Oryctolagus cuniculus: one gene and its partners. The protein of the gene in region 3 purifies or fractionates together with the protein of the main gene of each other region. This does not show direct contact. Links are inferred from orthologs where the notes say so. Each region holds a gene or a part of one and is shown on either strand. Other genes may lie near its edges.

What was found. The genes of interacting proteins can lie anywhere in the genome.
Region 1: the proteins of STX12 (region 3) and SNAP47 purify together in Homo sapiens (co-immunoprecipitation; 3 studies listed by BioGRID and IntAct, counting the BioPlex papers as one, with this or other methods). This does not show direct contact. The link is inferred for Oryctolagus cuniculus from reciprocal best matches to the Homo sapiens genes STX12 and SNAP47.
Region 2: the proteins of STX12 (region 3) and VTI1B purify together in Homo sapiens (affinity purification with mass spectrometry; 3 studies listed by BioGRID and IntAct, counting the BioPlex papers as one, with this or other methods). This does not show direct contact. The link is inferred for Oryctolagus cuniculus from reciprocal best matches to the Homo sapiens genes STX12 and VTI1B.

What each region holds. Positions count from the first base shown.
Region 1 is NC_091437.1:30,912-34,411, forward strand, and holds part of SNAP47 (synaptosomal-associated protein 47), read left to right. Parts: intron 1-1,717; coding exon 1,718-2,263; intron 2,264-3,500. UniProt on the Homo sapiens protein: Plays a role in intracellular membrane fusion.
Region 2 is NC_091451.1:13,543,228-13,545,723, forward strand, and holds the end of VTI1B (vesicle transport through interaction with t-SNAREs homolog 1B), read right to left. Parts: intron 2,192-2,496; coding exon 2,130-2,191; intron 762-2,129; coding exon 665-761; coding exon of another isoform or gene 621-664; 3' UTR 501-620; downstream 1-500. UniProt on the Homo sapiens protein: V-SNARE that mediates vesicle transport pathways through interactions with t-SNAREs on the target membrane. These interactions are proposed to mediate aspects of the specificity of vesicle trafficking and to promote fusion of the lipid bilayers.
Region 3 is NC_091438.1:143,809,393-143,812,590, reverse strand, and holds the end of STX12 (syntaxin-12), read left to right. Parts: intron 1-745; coding exon 746-828; intron 829-2,344; coding exon 2,345-2,479; 3' UTR 2,480-2,698; downstream 2,699-3,198. UniProt on the Homo sapiens protein: SNARE promoting fusion of transport vesicles with target membranes. Together with SNARE STX6, promotes movement of vesicles from endosomes to the cell membrane, and may therefore function in the endocytic recycling pathway.

The DNA of each region.
Region 1 (3,500 bases), on a different chromosome or scaffold from region 3:
CAAGTCCTTGGGCCACTGCACCCACATGGGAGACCCGGAAGAAGCTCCTGGCTTCAGATCGGCACAGCTCCGGCCATCTGGGGAGTGAACCAGTGAATGGAAGACCTCTCTCTGTCTCTGTCTGTACCTCTCTGTAGCTCTGCCTTTCGGATAATGAATACTAAATCTTAAAAAAAAAAAAAAAAAAAAAAGACAGCCTTCTGTGTTAGACTGTCAACAGCTTCACACAACTCAGGGTCACCACATCGCTTGACTGCATCAAGATGCTGCATGGGGGGCATTGGTCTCTACCATCTGGGTTCGTGTAAGGGCATGCTGTGATTTTGTTCACACAGGGACAAAGTCATCTAATGATGCATTTTTTTCAGAACATGTCCCTATACCATTTGGTATGTGGTGAACTTAGTTTCCGTATCACTAGAAATCTCATTTTGATATAGTCTCTTAAAATGTGGGGTCCATCTTTTTGTGTCTTGCCCATCCTTGTATTGCTTGCTGTGGTGTCTAGTACAATAATGATCTTGTAAAATCTGGTCGCTGGGAGTGTAACTCAGTGAGAAAATGAATGGGACTCCAGCTGACTCCAAGCCCAGCAAGACAGGGACTGTGCCAGTGTTGCTTCTTTCTTACATTCTGCCCAACACAGCATATGGTGCCTTGCAGGGGCTCACAAGCCTGTGAGCTGACCCATAATAATCCCTGTGTCCTGTAACCATTTTGTGCAAAACCCACACTTTGCAGTATTTTAAGGGATGATGCTAGTTACTCTGTTATAAATGGTGTTATATCATCAGTAAATTTGTGTGTGTGTGTGTATGTGTGTAAAAGAGCCAGTGAAACAGAGGCACACAGGAAGAGGGAGGGAGGTGGGAAGAGAGAGAAGGAGAATTGAAAGAAATGCCCCATTAAAGCTAGACCACTGTCGACTTGGAATCCCACAGGCCCAGGCATTACCACACCTGGCTTCTGCCCAGTCAGTGCTGTAAACTCATGGTTGAACCTTGTCTGAGGCCCTCATCCTATTAACTATATTCATCTGTGAGATGGTTGGACTAAAAGTAATACAAGGTTAATGCAGACCTGACAGCCATGGTTTTTTCATAATGCATTGATAGGTGTCAATACAAATGTGAAAATGCTGTACTACTTATGGTGACACCCAGGTGTATATACATATACATTTATATATGTATATGATTTATATATATGTATATGATTTATGGCATAGAAATTTCAGAAGGGCACTGTGAATAGAAACCTTTATGACTTTCCAGTGACAAAGACATCACAGCCACAAGATTGTGTCTGTGGGAAGGATCTGAGATTGACAGCCACCTGTCAAGACCAAGGAATGAGGCCTGGGACCCAGGGTAGTGGCTCCAATAATTCCCACTTCAAGGCATGTCCTCCGTGGATGCTGATCCAAGGGGGCTTACTCCAAGGAGCACAGAAGTGAAGGGTCTTGTATTGGGGATGAGAGTTTGAAGTCTCCCATGGAGGAGACAGGCATGAGTCTGGGACTGTGGGGTCTCTATTATGATCACAACTGTCTCCCTCATCTCTAGTTAGAGGTGTTGTCTCTTGTCAGTATACACGGAGCCTTGAATTGCCTTTGTGGCTGCCTGTCATGGTGGTCGGTTTCTGAGTGTCTCTAGCCAAAGTTAGGGCTCTGTGTTCAGCTTCCCCTGCCTACCAACCCGTCTCTCTTGTTCCTCAGAGGCAGAGGCTGCAGCCTCCATGAGGCACAACCACACCAGGGAAAGATGAGCAGAGACATCTGCATCCATGCCTGGCCCTGCTCCTACTACTTGGACCTTGAGAAACGATGGGTCCCTGGGAAGCTGTCCTTAACGTCGCTCTCACTGAAGTTCACAGCGGACAGAGCTGGTGAGGTTCTTGTTGGCTTTCCCCTCTCCAGCATCACTGAAGTGAAGAAGGAGGCTTCACATTTCATCTTCAGCTCCATCACCATCCTGGAAAAGGACCATGGCAAGCACTGGTTCAGCTCCTTGAGGCCCAGTCGCAATGTAGTCTTCACCATCATTGAGCACTTCTGGAGGGAGCTGCTGCTATCCCAGCCAGGAGCTGCTATGAACACTGTGTTGTCCCCCTCATCCCGGGGGAAGGAGCTCACTGGATTGATGGCTAGGTCCCAGAAGCGTCTGGAAGATACTGCGAAGGTCCTTCACCACCAGGGTGAGCAGCTGGGCAGTGTCATGAGGGGCCTGGAGAAGATGGAGTCAGACCTGGATGTGGCTGACAGGTGGGCTAGCCAAGAAATTGCTCTGGCTCAGCCAGGGCAGGGTGCATGTTTGGTGTACAAAACATGTTCTGAGAACAAGACTGAGAGACACACACACCTGCATTGCACAGCATGTGGGACACACATGGTGAGACACACGCACCTGCAAGGCACAGCATGTGGGACACACTTGGGGAGAGACACGCACCTGCATTGCACAGCATGTGGGACTCACATGGTGAGACACATGCACTTGCATTGCACAGCATGTGGGACACACACGGTAGGACACACGCCTGCATTGCAAAGCATGTGGGACATACGTGATGAGGGACACACACCTGCATTGCACAGCATGTGGGACACACATGGTGAGAGACACACACTTGCAAGGCACAGCATGTGGCACACACATAGTGAGACACTGGTGTGAGCTGTGTGAGTAATGTGTACACACCATGTGTGGTATACAAGGTGAGAGACACAGGCATGAGCTGTGTGAGTGATGTGTTCCTGTCAGTGAAGCTCCTATTTGGTGATCAGGACACACTTGCCTCACACATTGTGGTTGGGAGAGTGAGTTTTGGTGAATTTTTGTTTATTTCCATTTTATTTGCAAGGCAGAGAGAGAGAGTCAAACAAGGAGATCCTCTAACTGCTGGTTCACTCCTCAGATGCTCACAACAGCCAGAGCTGGGCCAAGCCATAGCCAGGAAGTCAATCCAGGTCTTTCACATTGGGAGCAGAGACCTAAGTATTTGAGAAATCATGTGCTGTATCCCAGGGTGCTCATTAGCAGCAAGCTGAATTGGAACTGATGTAGCCAGAACTCCAACTAATTTAGAATGCAGTTGTCTCAAGAGGCATCTTAACCTCTACAACAAATGCCTGCCCCTTTTACTTCATTTCAAACAGTTCGTTCTTCCTGGGACTCCCTTTTTTTTTTTTTTTTTTTTTTTTTTACATCTGACAACCTGGACTGTTCTTGTAATGTTATTCTATTCTCACGTTGCCTCTTTTTTTTCTTTTCATGGTACTGTGTGTATCTTGCGTTTTATATCTCTTCTATTTCTGTTACACTTCATTATAGGAATTAATTTTTCCCCAGTGCTTCTCTTGAGTGGCATCTTGATCTTTCTTCTGGATGATGCCTCCCGCATGTTATCACTGGCATTGTTTCACACTTTTTGGGGGCCTGCTTTTTCCTGCATACTTTTTCTCTGTTTTATTATGTGTTTTTCTCTTCAGAAACATCTCT
Region 2 (2,496 bases), on a different chromosome or scaffold from region 3:
GCCCAGGCGCGATGACCCTCATGAGTGGCAGCTAGGGGACTTTCTGAGGTTCTGTCGCACTCTGCTCTCCCAGGGTTGCTGTCAGCACTGGACCTGGTTGAAGTCAATCCTCGGTTAGCTGCTTCAGACGAAGAGGCGAAGGCCACAGCTAGCCTGGCGGTGGATGTGATTGCTTCAAGTTTTGGTCAGACAAGGGAAGGAGGACACACCGTCTATGAGCAACTTCCTCCACCCAGCTCACCACACGAATCGGAAAATGCAGAGCGCGTGAGAATTTAGGAGACACTGCACTGACGGTCTTTCACAACGGGCATTCCAGAACCGCAGGCACTTGAGGGGACAGACTGACGGGGTTGTCTGGGTCAGCACTGCCTTAATGGGCACATCTGCGCATTCTCACAACGGTACAGGTGCCCCTCTGCATTTTGGTGACCAATAATCCTACTGCAAATGTATTTTTCCCAGTCCACAGGTATGAACATGTTATGGTACTATGTACATTTAAAGGGGTCATAAACAGCATTTATTACCTTGGTATATCACTCGTCTTGTCGCTGTTCTTCCCCCCCTCCTCCCACACTCCGGCTACACAGCATGTTCACAGCAGTAACATGCTTCATTCACAGGGTCAAAGTTCTGGTCCACACTCCTCCACTCAGAAAGTTCAATGCTTGTGAAAGAATTTGTAATAGATCAGGATTCCCAGGATCACCAGCTCCAGCAGGATGACAATGGAAAGTAGCAGCTTGTTGGTTATCACTCTAAGAAGAGAAGCCAGAGTGGAGTAGTCAGAATCCTCATAACCTTATTTCTTCCTATCTGAGTATTTTGGGGTTGTAAGGCCCATCGAGTTTCATCATGCAGTCACTTAGCACTAAGTACTTCGAAGGTTCTTTAATGAGTAGGCAACACCTCATGAGGCTTGTTAGCCATAACCTAGGGATAACTTGTGGTCATGAGGTAGACAGCGTTAACAAAATACAAGAATGTCTTTTTTTATATAAAAATTCTAGGAACTTGCCGGCGCCGCGGCTCACTAGGCTAATCCTCCGCCTAGCGGCGCCGGCACACCGGGTTCTAGTCCCGGTCGGGGCGCCGGATTCTGTCCCGGTTGCCCCTCTTCCAGGCCAGCTCTCTGCTGTGGCCCGGGAGTGCAGTGGAGGATGGCCCAGGTGCTTGGGCCCTGCACCTCATGGGAGACCAGGAAAAGCACCTGGCTCCTGGCTCCTGCCATCGGATCAGCGCGGTGTGCCGGCCGCAGCGCGCTGGCCGCGGCGGCCATTGGAGGGTGAACCAACGGCAAAGGAAGACCTTTCTCTCTGTCTCTCTCTCTCACTGTCCACTCTGCCTGTCCAAAAAAAAAAAAAAAAAATTCTAGGAACTTTAACTTAAAAATTCCTTTTCTGGCACTAGCATTATGGCATAATGGATTAAGCCACCACCTGCAATGCCAGAATCCCATATGGGTGCCCGGTGCTACTCCACTTCTGATCCAGCTCCTGGCCTGGGAGAGCAGTGGAAGATGGTCCAAGTGTTGGGCTCCTGCACCCACACTGGAGACTGGGAAGAAGCTCCTGGCCCAGCCCTTGCCATTTGTGGGGGGGTGAACCAGCGGATGGAGAATCTGTCTCTCCCTCTCAAAATCTTTTTTAAAAAAATTGCTTTCCTGTAGGGTTCTGTTTTAAAGTCTAGTTCTTGCTCATAAGGCAAAACTTTGAGAAAAGGGGCCAACTCTCATGAAGGGCAAGCAGAGCCAAAAACAAGGACTTAACAATAGCAACAAATGCTTTTCTAATGAAGCTGTCAAACATACAGAGCTGTTATTCCCAGGTGTCATCTTCTGTAAGGAACATAAACTGGGACTTGAGTCCCGTCAGCAGTCAACATGTACACTGCTCCAAGTGAGAGTGGATTACTTTTAACACGGGATCTTATACTGGGATAGCAGACTACCCAAGACCACAGCCCCTACTTTCTCATGAAGTGCTGGGAGGTACTGAGCAGAGGGGGACTACATGGCATCAAGTCCTGAGATGCTTTATTTGGGACCCTTTCAAGTAAGTTACTGTTTTAAGCTTTCTTGCTTGGAAGGTAAGAGTTAAATTGTTACTCCTTATTTTAAAACTTACTTTCTGGACATTGAACGGAGAATCTTTCGACTTTTGCTCAGGTTTTCACTTGTGTTTACCAGCTGAGAAGAGAAAATAGCAATTACTTCCTTTTCAAAAGTGCATGCTGTAGAACTGAATATTCAACTAAGGGTAGGCACTACAGGGTTTATGTTGAAAAATCCCACCCCCCAAAACAAAAGTAAATACACAGCATGACTGCCTCTGGATACTGGCAGGAAAACCTGGAAAGGACAAGCTGCTCTAGCGCTCATCAAGGAGATCCCAGTGTTGCTGGGGGATGGACTAAGCTAACCCCGTGCCTTGGCTCTTCAGAAGAGGAAGGCTTTGAATGTCCCCAGCCAGTGACTGATGCAACCTGTGAGCA
Region 3 (3,198 bases):
AAAAATACTGCAAGGAACTCCTTTTAACCTTTACTTAGGTTTACTTTTTGTTAACATTCTATGTCATTTGCTTTTTTTTTTTTTTTTGACAGGCAGAGTGGACAGTGAGAGAGAGAGACAGAGAGAAAGGTCTTCCTTTTGCCGTTGGTTCACCCTCCAATGGCCGCCGCGGGTGGTGCGCTGCGGCCAGCGCACCGTGCTGATCCGAAGGCAGGAGCCAGGTGCTTCTCCTGGTCTCCCATGGGGTGCAGGGCCCAAGCACTTGGGCCATCCTCCACTGCACTCCCTGGCCACAGCAGAGAGCTGGCCTGGAAGAGGGGCAACCGGGACAGAATCCGGTGCCCTGACCGGAACTAGAACCCGGTGTGCCAGCGCCGCAAGGCGGAGGATCAGCCTAGTGAGCCGCGGCGCCGGCCGTCATTTGCTTTTTGATGTACTCTGTGTGTGTGTGTGTGTTTGCGTGCACACGGGCATATGCACGTACAAGTGAGAGCAAGACAGAGACAGAGAGAATGTATTCATATATACATAATTTTTCCTGAAGCATTTATGGATGAGTCCCTTGTCCCTAAATACTTCAGTGTTTATTTCTAAGAATAGGGCTATATTCTTATCCAGGTAGTAACTTCTGATTTCTTAACTGGGATAGTAATGAAACAGGAACCCATAACATCAGAAGTAGGTTCAGTTTTTAGCCTTGACACATCTGGGTGTGCTAAAATATGCATCATCCTTCTCTTTGCAGACAGCATAGAAGCCAATGTGGAAAGTTCAGAGGTGCACGTTGAAAGAGCAACTGATCAGTTACAGCGAGCTGCTTACTATCAGGTAAAAGCAAGAACCAAAGAAAGTCACTGTACTGCAGACTTCATGGGCCACCACAGTGCACTGACTCTGAGCACAGCCCAGCTTTTTGCTTAGGCTGAAGCTGGAGACAAGCAGTCATACTTGCAGGTCCAGTCCCAAGTATTTCCTTTGCAGGGAGATCTACAAAATGTCATCAGACCATGAATAAACATATACAGAAACCTCAGAGCTGCAAAACTAATAACCCCATAAGCTAGCATGAAACCTAGAATATAAATGGTGTAAGGCTAATCTTACATCCTAATCAGCTGAGATGTGCTTCCATTAGGATAGGAAGAAGTACAGTTAAAGCAGGGTTTCACAGGATTTATGTTGACTGTTGGCACAGAAGATGGACACAGACCACTTCAACTGTTATTTATATCTGAATAAGTAGAGCTTAGTCATACTGGAACTGTTCCTGCAAAGTAAAGTTCTACTTACTAGTTGAAACTGGTTTTATGATTTATCTGGGTCTCTATCTCAGTGTGAAAATACCGTGAACGTGAGGTCCTTCTCCTTTCCTCTCAGTTTGGTTTTCATGGCTTTTTGGAAGTCGTGTTTTAGTCATTTTCCATGTTCTTAGACTACCTGTTCTTAAAGAAATTGTGTTCAATAATAATTTTACCTTTATAAACTACATGATGTCTTTAGTGTCTAATGGTAAGGAATAATTTTATATACATCCACTTGGTATTATATGATGTGAGGATTTAGTTATATTTATGAAAAAATTGTATTAACAAAGATGCTTATATAAAACATTAAGTGAGAAAAAATCAAACATCATACAGTATGTATGCAAATGACAGTATGCATAGATAAAAGATCAGGAGTTACAATCAAAACATCAACAGTTTGATCTATGGGTGATTATTTTTCTGCTTGCCTTTTTTTTCCCAATGCATATTAAATTTTATAATAGGTATAAACTTACTAAAATACATATGACAAATATTATTATTTTTTCAAGATTTATCTGTTTGAAAGGCAGAGTTACAGAGTGTCAGGGAGAGACACAGAGAGAGAACTCTTCATCCATTTGTTCACTCTCCAAATGGCTGAAACTGAAGCCAAAAGCCAGAAGCCTCTTACAAGTCTCCCAATGTGGGTGCAGGGGTCCAAGTACTTGGGCCATCTTCTGCTGCCTTCCCAGGCAAATTAGCAGGGGGCTGGATTGGAAGTGGATCAGTGGGGACTCAAACCAGCACCCATATGGGATGCCAGTGTCAGCAGGTGGCAGCTTTACCTGCTATGCCACAACATTGTCCCCTCCCCCTTTAAAGATTTATTTATTTGAAATGTAGAGTTACAGAGAGGCAGAGGCAGAAAGAGAGAGAGAATGAATGAATGAGTCTTCTGTCCGCTGGTTCACTCCCTAAATGGCCATAATGGCCGGAGCTGGGCTGATCTGAAGCCAGGAGCCATGAGTTTCTTCCAGGTCTCCCACGTGGGTGCAGGGGCCTAAACATTTGGGCCATTTCTGCTGGTTTTCCAGGTGCATTTGCAGGGAGCTGGATTGGAAGTGGAGCAGCCGGGACTTGAACCAGCGCCCATATGGGATGCTGGCACTGCAGGCAGCACCTTTATCCGCTACGCCACAGCTCCAGCCCCAATAGCATTATTTTTATAAATAATTTCTATCATAATAGGTATGTCTCCTTTGCAAAACTGTATTTAAGGACCTAGAATTAAAACTTACACTGCTGCCTAGTGCTAGTGCTGATGACTGTTGAGATTTTGTGAATGTTCTCTGCCTATTTGTGCATGCATAGAGTTAATTTTGTATTACAAGGAGGCAGATTTATGAAGCACTCTTGGAGTCTTAGATATTAAAACTTTTGTTTCATGAGTGTCTTCTTCACATATTTCTTTCCCCAGAAAAAATCTCGCAAGAAGATGTGCATCCTGGTGCTTGTCCTGTCTGTGATTATTGCAGTCTTGATAATTGTTTTCTGGGTAGTGTATGGGAAATGAAGTGTGGTTGCCTCAAAGCCTTCTCCTGCTGAACTGTTTTCAAGGGCAAGTGCTGGTTGGAGTCTTGCCAGAACAAACTGATCACAAGAGGAGTGCACATACCAGAACGTCCTGTAACAATTTAGTTAGAAACTAACTACTAACTAGTCCTTGGAATTAGTGACCCATGGAGACAGTATTTATCAATATATGTATACATTTTATTGGTTTCTCCAATTAGGAATTAATTTATGTGGATTTTGCTTTCTCTTGTATTCTGATTGCCCTGTATCCCAAAAGTTTATTGAAAATTCCATTCTAGGTATTCTTTTTTGACAGGCAACACTACAGACTCGTAATATTGTCTTTTTATGTGTATACAAAATTTACCTTTTT